Linked DNA regions of Notamacropus eugenii. The protein of the gene in region 2 interacts with the protein of the main gene of each other region in a pairwise test. Links are inferred from orthologs where the notes say so. Each region holds a gene or a part of one and is shown on either strand. Other genes may lie near its edges.

Region 1 (7,500 bases), on a different chromosome or scaffold from region 2:
TAAAAAGCAATGATGGTCCCAGAGAACAGATAACAAAACATACCTCTTCCCTCTTGGCAGAGAAGTGGGGGACTACTAGAACAGTATATTGTACAGATTGTCAGATGTAGTCACAGTATTGGATGCTTTTTTGCATAATTGTTCTTTCTTTTTCACAAGAGAAAAGTTCAATCTGGAGAAGGGAGTTGAAATAACTCTGATGTAAAGACAAAAGGCATCAATAAAATGCATTTTTAATTAAAAGACTTAATGAAGTGAACTGTCGAGTATGTGTCCAATACCTGACAATATTTGCTTGAACAACATTTGTTCAATACGTAGAATGTCAAGAATAATGGGTACTAGAGATTTTATTGTTGACACCCACTTCCCTTAATTTGAAAATCATCAAAAATTTACCAGGCTCAAATACATGCATAATGCAAATTATCAAAACATTAATTTTAGTTAATAACAATAGCTAGCAATTTGTACTGTACTTTAAAGTCTGCAAAGCAGTGTACATGTTATCTCATTTGATAAATGCATTATTATAATAAATTATTACTACTCACATTAATATAGCAAATCTTAAAATCTTGATAACAACCCTCAGAGGTAATACAAGTATTGCTATCCCCATTTACAGATAAAGAAACTGAGGTTAGGAGAGCTAAGTGACTATACCAGGATTACATAGCCAAATAAAAACCTGAGTCAACTGGTCTCCTAAACCCAAATCCAAGTGGGCCTAAAGTCATAATTTCAGCAAACCATATGTAAAGTATGCCTATACTAAGATGACACTGCAGAGTGAGGGGACTGGAAAGAAGGAAGGAAGGAATGGGGAGAAGGGAGAAGAATGACCTGCCTCTGTAAGTTTACCATATATAATTTACAAAAAATGTGTTTCTACATATCAAAAAAATGGTAGTCAAATTAAGTTATTTTTTAAATTAGCAAAATGTAGTCATTGTGGAAAATCTATGAAATATCCATATTATTTCATATACTCAGATATTCATGTATCTATGAAATATCCATGTTATTTCTACTGATAAAGAACTTTTTCCTTCTAATCCTCCTTTAGAAAATTATGCTTAAGAAATAAAACGAAGCTCTGTTCCAGGCTCTCCAGATAAAAAACTATGAAATGCCAATCCCAAAAGGAAATGTTTGCTCTACATAAACGATCAAAAACCAAAACAAAATTCATACTCCCTTTTAAGTTTAATGATAGGAATGGTCACTAAGTATATCTTGCAATACTTACAGGATGCAGAGCATCCTGAATTGGAGGAAGCTCATTATCAAAGTCTCTCTCATTTACTAAGATGAAATGATTAAAAGGAAGCTATACCTCACACACTCCTCCACAAGAGCAAGGATGTATTCATCTGACTTTTCTACCGCCTTGCCCCACCGCCAGGTGCTTAAAGGCAGCAGGGCCACACCTAGTGCTGGGCCTGGAATTGGGAAGACCCTAGTTCAAATACAGAATCCAAACCCTTACTAGATAAATTACCCTAGGCATAGTCATTTAACCTCTCCAAGAATCAGTTTCCAAATCTGTAAAATGAGAGTAACCTCAACTGTAAAACAGCACCTACCTGTTGTGAGGTCATCAAGTTGGTTAACATTGAATAATGCATGATGCTTTCCGTTGGCTCCCTAGTGTGTTGGCTGAGTTAAAGTGAATATGTAAGATAACGGGCAAATGTTGTCATCCTGCCTAATCTTGTCATCTGACACTACTACTGACCTTTTTTCCCTCTGCAACCTTCGAAAACAATCCAAATAATTAAGTTACACAGGTGTAAGACCAAGTCTCATCCTGTATCTTGTGAAAAGCAAAAAAAAAAAACCAAAACCAGCCTCTGATTCAGAATGGTTTACAATCATAAGTTCAACGCTCATCCTAAGACTTAAAGTTGAAGGGGCCTTTAGAGGCCATTTAATCCGAACTCAATTTACAGATGAGAAAACGGAGGCCCAAAGGGGTTACAGGACTTGGCCAAGGTCACACGAGAAGGCCGGACTTGAGCCCATACCCAAACCTTCCATCTGTTTTGCTCTTCTCAAGGAACCACGTTTTCCCTCCGTAACAATCCAATCACAAAGAAACCAAACCAAAGCCACTCCTCTGAAAGGGCCGGGCAGGTTAACCTAGGCAGCACACGGTAACACAAAACCTGTCCTGAGTTCTCTTTAATCCACAAAACCCCCCAACCACCAACGAGAAGAGCCCCCGTCCGGCGTCGGCAGGCAGGTTTCTCCTCCGTCCAGCCTCTTCGCACCCTGGGACCTCTCCTCCACCTGACATACGGGGCACTCAGCGGCACCCACACCTGCTCGGGTTCTCACCTGTCTCAGGTGCTGTTACTGCCACTGCCGAGGTCCCCATAGTCTCCAGGTCATTGTTCATTTCCTCTCTCGGGCTGTTAGGTTTCATTACTTCCTTCCTAACATGCGCACGCCGGGTCTCGTGGCTGAAGGAGCTTTCTCTCCACTAGAGGATGGCTTTCATCTCCACAGAAACCAGGAGCTCCACGCGGCTCTCCGTTTGCTCCGAGTCTTCGCTTTTGTTCCTAAGGCTTCATGGGCCTCGCTTCCCGCACGCGTCTCCCCTCGGCGCTGGGCCCGGCCCCAGCAGCACTAACCCCGCGGGCCCTTACTCCCCTCGCGTCCTCTGTCCAAGGGCGCCCGGAGCGGAAGGTGGGGGTGGGGCGGCGAGAAGCCAGAGGAGCTGGGGAGTTTCAGCACCTGGGCTGAGTCGTGGCTGCCGAGCGATCCCCGCAGTCCGGAGGACTGAAGATTCCAAAAAGGAGTCTATGCCAAGTCGGCCCTAAGAGTGGGGGGAGGGGGTGGCCAGGAGACGGTTCTAGAGGATCCCTCGTTCTGGAGAGGGAAGAAGAAGGCAAACCCTTTCTTCTACCTAGCCAAAGGAAACATGTCGACCGCCTTTGGGAGGGTTGGCTTGGGCGCCACTGAGCAACCGGAAGTGAAACCTTCCAGACCGGGAGCGAGAAAAAAAAGAAAGTGAAAACTGAACTATGGCGTCACGAGTGGGCGGGCAACCCAGGGCAACGCCGCGCTCCCCGACGCAGGGCGGGGCCCCCCTCGGCGTCCGGGCGCCGCGTCCTCAGTCGCCAAACCGACCCTCAGTCCCTTATCTCGCCCTGCGAGTGCCCCTCTACGCGCCGATTTCCCTCCCGTCTGACCCCACCCCCACCCCCCGGCAGCATGGGGCAGGCGTGGCCTCGGGGCTCGGCCCCTGAGGATGGGAGGAGGAAGAGGGAAAGGGAGAGACAAAAGGAAGGGAGGCGGAAGCGGAAGTACACTGCAAGGAAAAGGAAGGCCCGGAGGTGGGAGAGTTGCCAGGAAACCAAGCCCCCCAAAAGAGCCTCTTTGTAGAGGGATTTCTCCCTACCCTCCCGGCCCGCTCGGGGCTGGCGGAACCCACCTTGGCTTCGTTGGAATCTAGCATCCCAGTTTCCTTATAAAGTAACGAGAAGTGTGTGTGTCAGGTATTAAAAGCCTGGCCCCAGCACGGTGGGTCGCGTGGGGGACGCAAAAGAAGCCAACCTTAAGGTGCCCCCTCTTTAGGTGCTTCCACAGTTTTGAGGCCTGTAAACTTTTCACCACATACATACGTGTGTACAAAAATAATTTTTGAGCGCCTAGAGGGGAGCATTCTAAGCCCATCATAGATGCATTTTTAATTCATCGTTCATACTGCGACCCCGGCATAAGCTTGGCTTACTTCTCTAGTCCCATACACGAAAACATCTTTGTAAGACAGTCAATGACAAAGATTTTTTACATTCCTACACACGCAGGTAGAAATGACAGTCGTCCCCAAACATGGAGTTACGCAGATCCAATAAACATGAACCAATGTTTGTAGAGGTTCTGCTTGTTAAAAACCCAACCCCCAAGTCTGGTCTTGGTACTCACCATGGCCTTGCCCAATGCGAAGGCAATAAAGAAAACAAAAAGGAAAAAATATCTTATCTTAGATGTCAACCTGGTCAATACGGAATTTACTAGGTAGAGCATGTGGGCCTTTCCCTTCAGGGCCTTAACAACCAGGGAGAGAAATTATTATTTTCTATTATATTGATAACCAATTATTAAATTAGGATGAAGGCTTTTTCTATTTTCTCATTCAGAGAACAGCCCCTCCAAGTCAGTCTCAGAAGGGCATAATTCTCTAGTAAAGTAAGCTTTGTTCTTGGGAGGGAACCCACCCAACTAGGAGACTTTATTTCTGTTTAAAATGTAAACAGAATCTAAGGGAGGTGAATTCCAGCCTCCAGGCATTAAGCCCCAGGTCGTGTACCTCTCCATTGAAGTCTGGCGTAATCCAGGTCATGAAAGTGAAAACCAACCTGAGACGTCTGGGTAGATAGAGATGGTTTCCTTTGTCAGATGGCTGGAGGCAGCGGAGTCTCGAGATCAAACCTCTTTCTCAGCAAGAGGAGCTGAAGGCTTTTGCCCCACCTCCTCATTTGAAAACCCCACCCCCTTATTAGTTATTCACCAATCAGGTTTGACTTTTACCTGTCAAGGGTACCCACTTCTCTAAAAGTATATTAAGGCATTGAATATCTCCATCTTTGGTTACCGCGGACCATCGATTTATTAGCAGCTAGCCTAATTAATACATTGATTATTAATTACCCAGAAACACTGGCTTTTGGGTTTTTCATTCATCTTACTGGGGAACTACATGGTACCGTGGACAGCATGTTGGACTTAGAATCAAGGAAAACTGAGTTCAAATCTAGTCTCAGACAGTAGAAGTTGTGACCCTGTGCGAGTTCCTTGATCTCTGCATGCCTGTAAAATAGCACCTACCTCCCAAGTCTGCTGTGAGGATAAAATGAGATAAAATTTATAAAGTACTTTGTAAACCCTATGGTATGATATAAATGCCATTCTTCTTATTACTCTCAAATGAAATACCAAATCATCCTTAGTGAAATTTCAGGGTATCTAGTCCTGGGTGGAGAGTATCTCCAATGGGTCCCTGCAAATGTGAAGGGATTCAAAATTATCCTAGATAAAGCCATTATGTATATGGTAGGGATTACCGACATGGAAAGATTTTAGGGGAGCAGTTCCTTCCTTATGGTGAATCCTTTGTCCTTTGTAAAGGAATTTATGACTTCAGATAATATAGATCTCTCTGTTTTTTATTCATCTTGGATTGTCTTAGAAAGCTGTCATATCAACTGGATTTAGAGTTTGTGGGAAGTGACCATTGCTCAGCCACACTTTCTTCTGGGAGGTGGGGATGGGGAAGGAGGGATGCCTACAGGCATCTCCTAGTCTTGTAGAGAATTAGCCCTCTCAAACCTCTGTTACTACAAATAATATCAAAACAAAATAAAATTAGTGGCCACTAATACATTTTGATATTTTCAATTACATGTAAAAACAATTTTTAATATTTGTTTCTTTAAAATTTTGAATTCCAAATTCTCTCCTTTCTTCCTCCATCTCTCCTCTCTCTGAGATGGCAAGCAATTTAAAATAGGTTAAAATAGGTTGCAATCAGGCAAAACATATTTCCACATTGGTCATGTTGTGAAAGAAGACACAAACCCTCCCTCCAAAAAACATGAAAAAAAACAAAGTGAAAAATAGAATACTTCAATCTGTATTCAGACTCCATCAGTTTTTTCTCTGGAAGGTGGATAGCATTTTTCACCATGAGTCCTTTGAAATTGTCTTGGATCATTGTATTTCTAAGAATACCTAGGTCATTCACAGTTGATCATCATAATATTACTGCTACTGTGTAGAATATTCTCCTAGTTCTATTCACTTCACTTTGCATCAGTTCATGTAAGTCTTTCCAGTTTTTCTGAAAGCATCCTTTTTTATCATTTCTTATAGCACAATAGAATTCCATTATAATCATATACCACAATTTATTCAGTCATTCTCCATTGATAGGCATCCCCTCAATTTTCAATTCCTTGCCACTGCAAAAAGAGCTGCTATAAATTTTTTTTGTATGAATGGGCACTTTTTCTTTTTGTTTTGATCTCTTTGGGATACAGACCAGTAGTGGTATTGCAGGGTCAAAGGATATACATAGATTTATAGCCATTTGAGCATAGTTCCAAATTGAATGGTTGAATGAGTCCACAATTTCACCAGCAAGGATTAGTGTTTCAGTTTTCCCGCATCTCCCCTCAAATTTATCATTTTCCTTTTCTGTCATATTAGCCAATCTGATAGGTGTGAGATGGTATCTCAGAGTTGCTTTAATTATTATTTCTCTAATCAATAGTTATTCAGAATATTTTTTCATATGACTATACATAGCTTTGATTTCTTTGTCTGAAAACTGCCTGTTCCTACCCTTTGACCACTTGTGCTAGATGTACAAGTGGATGTACTAGAGCAGGCCTGCACAACATACAGTCTGTGGGCCACTTACAGTCCACTAAAGAATTTTGGTCAGCCTGCAAAAAATGTAGGGTTGCCATGTGTACTCTCCTGTTTGTTATGTGACCCATGGTAAATAGCCATCATCACTCTGTCTCTAGTCTAACCTATCTGTGGCCCAAAGAAATTTAGCCTATTTTAATTTTGGCCCCTACCTACTTGCCAAGTTGTGGAGGTCTGTTCTAGAGCCAGCTGTAACCAGCTTGTGAGAGATTCCTTCTAATCTTGGCTGTATTGGTTTTCTTTGCACAAAACTTTTGAAATTTAATATAATAAAAATCATCCATTTTATGTCTTGTAATGTTTGGTCATAAATTCTTCCGGTGTCCATCGATCTGATAACATATTTTATAGAACACTAAAATAAACAATGACAAAGTAAGAGACAGAAATTTGAGGGGCAAAGAGGGGCTCATTGTCAGTATATGATAACTGAACCCAAAAGTCTGCTGTATAAACTGGGGTTTACCTCTATTAACTCCTCATAGAGAAGTAAAGAAAAACCCTGGAGGAGCAAGGCAATTGATGGTTCAGTCATAGGATGATACCTGAAAGGACTTATTTTGAATGTTTGTCATATGGTGGCAGTTTAAAACCACACAGAAAAGTCAAAGAAATTTAATAAATGTTTCAAATAGTTATGAACTTCAATCTACTTATTGTCTTCTTCCTGGAACTTCCCTGCTACTTTATTAATTTAGGGGCAAAGGACCTAAAATAATTCCAAAGAACTCATGATGGAAAATGCCATCCACATACAGACAAAGAACTATGGAGTTGGAATGCAGAGTGAAGCAGACTATTGTCTGTTTTGTTTTGTTTTCTTTCTCATGGTTTCTCCTATTTGTTATAATTCTTCTATGCAACATGACTAATGTGAAAATGTGTTGAATAGGAATGTATGTGTAGAGCCCATATCAGATTGCATGCCATCTTGGGGAGGGAGGGGGAGAAAATTAAAAAACTTATGGAAGTGCATGTTGAAAACTAAAAATTAATTAATTGAAAAAAATTTAGGGGCATTCAATATTGCCAGTTTTTTCAAATGCTCCATGAATA
Region 2 (8,093 bases):
CACATAAACTTCTATGCATAATATTGCTCTGAAAGCAAATAATGAGTGAGGGTTGTTACAGTGTTAATGTCTCTGCACTGAGGCGTTCTCTTTCCTCTGGATGACCCATGGCATATGGCCCACAATTGTCCAACATATGGGATTAATGAGGGCATCAGTTTCAATCTACACATTTCTTTTAGAAAAGCTTAATTTCTTTGTTTAAAAAAAGCAAAATAGAAACAACAGTTGTTTTCTTCCAGCACATTGGTGCCCAGTACTCTTTTGTACCCGAAGGGTGTGCACACTCCACTTTGGACACCAGTGCCCTAGGTGACCATGGGTTTCTAGTTCTGTGCGTTTAAAGTTTTGTTTCTTCCCTCAGGCTATATATAACTCCTTCCTGCTGCACCTGGGTCTCTTGCTTCCCTTTGACAGCCTAACTTCATGTACATTGTTTCAGCAAAAGCCTGATGTCAGCTTTACCTGGATATGGGTTCTATGACAGGTGTTCTCTTCACAGCAACTCAGACTTTTTTAATAGCTGTGTTCTGGATTATTCTATCTTCCTGATATTTTTCCAATCCTTTTATAGTGCAGTGGATTTGGTGTCTGACCCCTCCCCATTCCCCTTTCCTGTTCCCTTCTTTTTTCTCTTTGAGCTGGCTGCCCTTGTAGGTCAGGGGTTCCAGAGTGTTCACACTGCTACAACTCACTCTCTGAGGGTCTTTGTGGACACCCTACGGTACAGGAGCTAGATTTATACTACTTATAAAAGAGACTCAATCCCATGCTGATATACTTCCCACTTAACAAATCAGAGAAAATGAGCTCAATTTACTCAGAAACTTTTGCTAAACAGAAGGCAAAGTGAGGGCACATTCTAAGTTCAATATACATGTATCCGTAGAGGGAGGAGAGTAGACACAAACTTACAGAAAGACAGCAGGGAGGTACATCTCCTCCCTAGGAATGCCTGGGTCTGCAGCAATTTATAACTCTGAACTTAGGGCTTTTAATGCCCTTTATCAAAGGTAATCTGCACAAAAGTTTACTAATGACTAGACTATTTTCTCTTAAGATTTAAAGTTTTTGATGTAGTTATAGAAAAGATTTCCTCCAATAAAATAACAAGTGTGGCTTAAATATATGGATTCACTCTCCTAACTCCCACTCCAACAGGCAGGTTGGGTCCCCAGAAAGCAATGACTTCTTCTCCCTTCAGGACTGTATCAGTAACCCTGAGGGGTTGTGTCTTCTTATAGCACATATGGAAACCAGGCATCAGATTTCTGGTGTTCTTCCAACCACTTAAAGCTCCCTAGGTCATAATCTGTTCTGTTCTGCCTCTGACACTTACTCACCTAAGATAAGGAAATAGACAAAAAAAGACAAATCCCGCCCCCCAAAACCCCAATCCACTGTGCAATAAATTCATGGTCATGTGGTGGCTGGGTGGAGAGGTAGTGTACCTGTTCCTGTGCTACTTTTCCTTAAAGGCTCACAGCATTTCCTCCTTTTCACTGAATGCTGACAGGAAGAGAGAGTTTTGTTCATGAGTCTTTAAAAAAAAAAAAAACCCTGCATATGACCTGGGAAAAAGCACTATCCTCACACATTTCTAGAAACAGGCTCACCAAGTATCCAAGTGGATTGGCATCAGGAAGCATATATTGTACATGCTCAAAGAACTGGGGATTTGTTGGCTACTCCTCCCCCCGCCCCATGTTCGGGTGAAGAGGGGAAAACTCTCATGGGAAGTTTGGGCTCAGTAAAAGTTTTACAGCTTCTGGAAAGTCTTCCAGCGTGGTCTCTTCCTTTTCAACTCAGGGCCCAAGTTGGCCCATTTGGACCATTTGATGTGTGTGTGTGTGTGTGTGTGTGTGTGTGTGTGTGTGTGTGTGTGTGTGTGTTGTTGAAAAAATCTATAGGATGTTCATTCAGATGCATGTTGAAACTCTAGGCAATAGACATTTTCATCCGTTTGGTCTTCCCTATATGGATAGACAGATCAAATTCCTTTGAGTGATTAAAAATCTTTCAGGAGGCTCTGCAATGTTTTGGGGATTGATTAAATCAATAAAATAGCATCTGCAAATAGGAACTTGTGGAGGATTTTACCCTCCTCAGCTTGGACTCCGTGCTAGATCTCTATTACAACAACAAATATTTTTGGACAGCAAGCATCTCTGATGCCTCATCTGATGCCAATTTCCAAAGGGTCCCCAAACAGTAATTTCTGTTGTTACCTCTTCCAAGGGATCCTGAAAGATCTTGATGGATGGATGGGAAACATCTTGTAAAAAGAGCCTGTTTTACTGAACCAAGTACTTTTCATAATCAGCAATAATAATTATAGTTAGAATTTATATGGTGTTTTAAGGTTTGCAAAGTGCTTTACAAATGGATGTAGGTGCTATTATTACCCCCATTTTACAGACGAGGAAGCTGAGGCAGACAGATGTTAGATGGCTTGCCCAGGGTCACATAGTTCATATCTGATTTCAGTTATAGCAGCATGCACACTCACTCTGGAACCCCTGACCTACCAGTATGATGACAGGTTATATGAATGAGCCAGCCCAAAGAGAAAAAAGAAGGGAACAGAAAAGGGGAATGAGGAGGGGTCAGACACCAGGTCAGACACAGACTCCAGCTCCAGTGCTCTGTCTGCTGAGCCACCTCATTATCTCCAACAATGAGCACACTGGGATCTTATATTCTACATATTTCACTCCATTTTGATATTGTTGTCAATTGTGCACATTGTTGAATATTGCTATAGAAAGTCTGCTTATTCCCTATTAGTATCACCCTCAAGGACAACCTCAATTCATGCTACTGATCATCTTAAAATTTAATATATAGTTAGGAGGGAAGCTACATGAGTTAGTTAGTGGTCCCTGACATTTTCTCCATCAACATTTCTTTCTGCACTTTTGGTTAACTTTTCCTCCTGCAGATACTTTGTACATCAATCCCTTAATGTCTTCAGAATTGTATAATCTCCAGAACAGATTTCTATACATACTTGATCAAACCCTGCTGCTTTTCCTATGTTTTGTTTTCTTAGTGCTATTTCTACCTCAGGGACTATGATTTTAGGGTTGAAATACAGTGATTCCACTAGGTTTAGAGGTCTGTTGAAATGACTTTTTGGTAAATCATTTCTAGTTTTTTTTATTTCTAATCTTCTTTTCATTTGCATCCTTGAATGCTATCGGGATGACTTTGTTTAGTTGGCTATCTTGCCACGCTTTCTTTTAACTCCTTTGAGCCTCTCTTGCTTTTCACTGCTTTATGAGAAGGTATTCCTCATAATCATTTATAATTCTTCTTTATAACATTTTTATAGAGTTCATATTCTAGCCTGGTATTGTCTTTGGCAGATATTTCTCTGGCAAATCAAATGAGCATTCGATGAGCAAGGCATTTTTCTGGAGTCCTTCATTCTCTGTGTAGGAATTAATTTACATTGGTTTAACTTCTGGATGAAATTATGGCAATGTTGTCATTTTTTCCCCTGAAGAGCTTATAAGAACCTTTTCTAAGTTGTCTTGCCTTTTGAAATGTAGACACTTTCATTTTTTTACTGTTATTTGGTGCTCATCATATCCTGCACCCACCAATTTTGAGGCAAGAGTTCATCGCAGAGTCTTTGGGCTGGGTCATCTCTAGTTGTCTGAATTGTTATCCGGTCACTGCACCCAGATGGCTCTGGAGAAGAAAGTGAGGCTGGTGACTTTTCTCAGCACTCTCTCACTCAAATCAAAGTAAACTTCAAGTCATGTTATCATCTACCTGATGTCATGGTGCTTTTGGAGAATGAAAGACAAACCACAATTCTCTGGATTTCCTCAATTCTTTCTTTAAAACCATACTTGACCCTATATATCTCACCTTGTCCTGTCTTTGAATTAAAATCAACATTCACTCTGCTACTTGATTAATGTAAAGCTGGAAAAAAGGTGAGAAAGGAGAGATGTACATGGCCCACTGTGGTTCAGAAGAAAGAACTGAAAAAGTCCAAAGACTTGTAGATTTGACAGAAGCCACAAGCTTCTGTATCATGAACTCTTCCTTCAGAATTGTTGTGTGCAGCATATGGAGAGCCCCATAAACATAGTAAAGAATGAAACTGTGCATTTCAGTAGGCAAGAAAGCTTATTATTAAAGTGGGAGCTATTCCTCAGTTAGCTGTCTGTGCACACACTGCTAACTCTTCACCGTCTGATCAGAATTTTTAATAAGCAAACAAAAAAAAATTAACGAGAGATACTGCCTAAGAGCGAAGTCAGCAGAACCAGGAGAACATCATATACAGTAACAGGAAGACTGCATGAGGAGCAGCCATGAAGTACTTAGCTGAGAATGGCAGTACAATGATCTAAGACAATTCCAAATTGTGAAAAATACTCTTCATCTCCAGGGAGAACTGATGAACCGAGTGCAGATTAAAGCAGACTTTTAAAATTTGTTTCTTGGTTTTTGTCGTTGTTAACTTTTTGCAACATGGCTAATATGCAAATGTTTTGTTTGATTTCATACTTAGGATCAGTACCATATTCTTTACCTTCTTAAAGTGATAGAAGGGAGAGAATTTGGAATTCAGTATTTTTTTAAAAAATGAATGCTGAAAATGTTTTAAAATGTAATTGGGAAGTAATTAACAAAAAAAAGTAGCAGTAGTTCACAAGATATAGTTTGAATTATTTTTAAAAATGGGACACATAACATAACTGCCACCGACGTCCCCCTCCCCCAGGTCCTCAGCTTCTCCCTCTGTCCAAGGGGCGGGCTGGACCCTACGACCTCACCGGGCTTCACACTTAGACTGTGAGGCTGGGGAGCAGAGAGGCGGCCCCTCCCCTCCGCGGGCTCCACCCCTAGGACCACGCCCACCGAGGCACCTCCACTACCATTGAGAACAAGCCCGCCCGCCTAGAGAGGCACGCGTGGGGGAGGGCCGAGGAGGACCCGGCGGCTTCCTCGCCATTTTAGGAGGAAACGCGAATCGTCAGCCCTTCCGTTTCAATAACTTTATTGAGCCCACAGGCCGGGCGCAACCACCTCTGCGCACGCGTGCGGCCGCCTTCCCGCCCCACCCCCTCCCGGGAGGAGGGCGCTCCGCTGCCCAGACGAATGGGGCTGCATCTTTGGTGGGGGGTGGCTGTCCCGGGGAACTCTCGGAGAGCAGTGGGAGGAAGGCAGGGGATCCCGGGCTCCTGCTCGCCGTCTTCCCCGAAGAAGGAGGGGGTGGTGCCCTGAGGAGGCCCAAGAACGAGCGGCGGAGGAGGACAAACCCATCCCCCCCCTGCTGGGGACCTCCGAGCCGCCATGGGCAATACCACGAGCGAGCGAGTGCCAGGGGAACGCCACGGCTCCAAGTCCCACCGCGCCGATGGCGCCGGTGGCCAGGCGCACGGCAAAGAGCACCCGCACAAGATTATGGTGGGCAGCACGGACGACCCGAGCGTCTTCAGCGTACCCGACTCCAAGGTGCGCGGCGCTCGCGGCGGAGGGCAGGGTTCCGACCCCGCTCAGCTCCCCTCCCCGGGCGGTGTGCCTGGGAGGCTGCTCAGTTTCTCTAGTCTGCTCAGTTTCTCTAGTCTGGTCAGTTTCTCTAGTCTGCTCAGTTTCTCTAGTCTGGTCAGTTTCTCTAGACTGGTAAGTTTCTAGTCTGGTCAGTTGCAGCAGAACGCCTGGGCGCGCTGCCCTCTCGCGGTGTGCTCGGCCTTGGTGTTTGCCAAGGCTTCTGTGGGAGCCGTTTTCTAGGGTCTGAAGAGTTATCCGTGGTGGAAAATGGACTGACCGGCTAGTGCAGCGGGGCAGATGAGGGAGGCTCAGCCGGCTCTCTTAAGCCAAGCGCGCAGGGACCATCCTGGAATCCCAAAGCAGGCCTTGGCCTCAAGGAGCATCCATTCTAGTGGAAGAGAACGTGCCCTCAGCTATGTATGGACAAGATATAAAAAGTGAAAGGGATGTCTTGCCGGGGGGGGGGGGGGGGGGGGGAAGGCTTTTTTGCAAAAGGTGGGTTTTGACCTGAATCTTAAAGGAAGCCAGGTGGTAGAAAAGACTATTGGACAGCCAGGTCAGAATAATGGGAGTATCTTGTTCGAGGAACAGCAAGGAGCCAGTGTCAGTAGATCAGAGAATGGGTGGAAGGGAGAGAAGTGTAAGAAGACTGGAAAGGTAGGGAGGACTAGGCTGTGGAGGGGTTTAAAAGCCAAACAGGAACACACATGTATTTGTGTGTGTGTGTATATGTGTGTGTGTGTGTGTGTGTGTGTATATACACACACACACATAATATATATTACACACATATACATACATATCCTGGAAGTAATAGGGAGTGTTAATTTTTTTTTTAATTGATCTACTTGTTGGATAGTCTTTTCTTTCAGTGAGAAGAAGAGTACTTTATTTACTAAGTAGAGGAGGGCTTTAGAAAGGTTGCTTTGGCTGCAGATTTAGGGGGAAATAGTAGGGAGAGCAGCCAGCACGTTGTTGAAATAGTCCAGGCATGAGTTGATGAGCCAGGTGGTGATTGTTGAAGGAGAGAAGGTCAAGTACAGGAGTGTTGATGCTAAGGTAGAAACAAGCAGGCTTAGCTCCAGATTGGATGGATGTGTGGGCTGAGTGGAAGTGAAGAGCTAAGTGATTTGGAAGCCTGGGTCACTGACAGGATTGCAAGGGAAAACTATGCATCAATTGGAACTGCCTGTCTAAATCAGGGATTCTTGTTTTTGTGTGTGTCATGAACCTCTTTGCCAAGCAAGTCTATGGATCTCTTGCCTGAATTAATATTTTTAAATAACTGAAGGAAATGCTGAATTTCAGGTAGAGGTTAGTGAAAAGTAAAATGTGATTCTGTTCTCCTCCCCTCATACAAGTTTGTTGATCTTCTGAAAACCAGAGGGTGGAGGAAAAGGGGCTAGGGTCTCCTAGAAGGCCAGATATAAAGGTTACTCTTGGGATCCTTCTACAGTGACTTACTTGACAAGTAGAAGCTCTGAGAGGAATGTTGACTTTTTTATTTGAAAAACACCTGAGGGTTTTACTGAACCACAAATTCAATATGAGAACAGTATTACATAGCCCAAAGAGGGGTGGGGAACATGTGGCCTTCTAGATCCTCAAGTGTAGAACTTTGACTAAACCCAAATTTCACAGAACAAATTCTTTTAATCATTTAATCCTTTAAAGAGATTTGTTTTGTGAAGCTTGGATTCAATCAAAGGTCTGCACTTGAGGATCTAGAGGGCCACATGTGGCCTTGAGGCCACAGGTTCCCCACCTCTGGCCTAGGAAAATAATTCACTCATAATTTGGGGCTGGAGTGGGGGATTGTACATGTTGTATTCAGTTCAAATTCACAGTTTAGGAAGGCCATTGAGGAGACACCGTGGTGTAGTGGAAAGGGCTTATGTAGTTACATTAGACCCGTGTAGACCTGGTTCAAATCCCATCTACTTAAGTATGACCCTGGACAAATAAATCACTTGGTTTCTCTGTGCCTTAATTTCCTTGTCTGTAAAATCTGGGAGTTGGACTTGATAACTCTAAGATCCCTCCTAGCCCTGAATCTTTGATCTTAGGAAGCTGGAGAATGTCCAAAAGGACTGTAGGCATGCCCTGAAGATGATGATTGGTTGAGGACCAGGAGGATGTTTCAGCCTGAAGAAGAGAAAACTTTAATGGAGATGTGATAGCTGCTTTCAGGTATTCTCATGGGCAGTCATGTGAAAAAGTGGATTAGATTAGTTCTTCTTGGCCCCAGGACAATAAACTGGGTATTGCGTGTGGCAATTATAGGGAAGGAGTTGACAAGTCATTGTAAAGAAAAACTATACAACCAGGAGAGCTGTCCATAAATGGATTCCTTGGCTGTAGGAGGAAATGGATTTTCCTTTAATAGATCCTCCAGCAGAGTGTAGATGACCACTTGTCTGCTCAAGTCAACAAGCATTGATTGCTTACTATGGGCCAAGCACTGTGCTAACCCAAAGAGGGTCAGGAGGACATCCTGGAGAGGAACGAAGGAACTATCTCAGATGTTTGTTGCTCAGGGCCTTCTTTTCCTGGGCTTGGGCTGTCTTCCCTCTCCCTCC

The links. The genes of interacting proteins can lie anywhere in the genome.
Region 1: the proteins of PRKAB2 (region 2) and TASOR2 interact in binary tests that used the Homo sapiens proteins (3 or more experiments, as listed by UniProt). The link is inferred for Notamacropus eugenii from reciprocal best matches to the Homo sapiens genes PRKAB2 and TASOR2.

What each region holds. Positions count from the first base shown.
Region 1 is NC_092874.1:209,470,211-209,477,710, reverse strand, and holds the start of TASOR2 (protein TASOR 2), read right to left. Parts: upstream 3,083-7,500; 5' UTR 2,432-3,082; coding exon 2,344-2,431; intron 1-2,343.
Region 2 is NC_092873.1:301,712,154-301,720,246, forward strand, and holds the start of PRKAB2 (5'-AMP-activated protein kinase subunit beta-2), read left to right. Parts: upstream 1-4,957; 5' UTR 4,958-5,316; coding exon 5,317-5,478; intron 5,479-8,093. UniProt on the Homo sapiens protein: Non-catalytic subunit of AMP-activated protein kinase (AMPK), an energy sensor protein kinase that plays a key role in regulating cellular energy metabolism.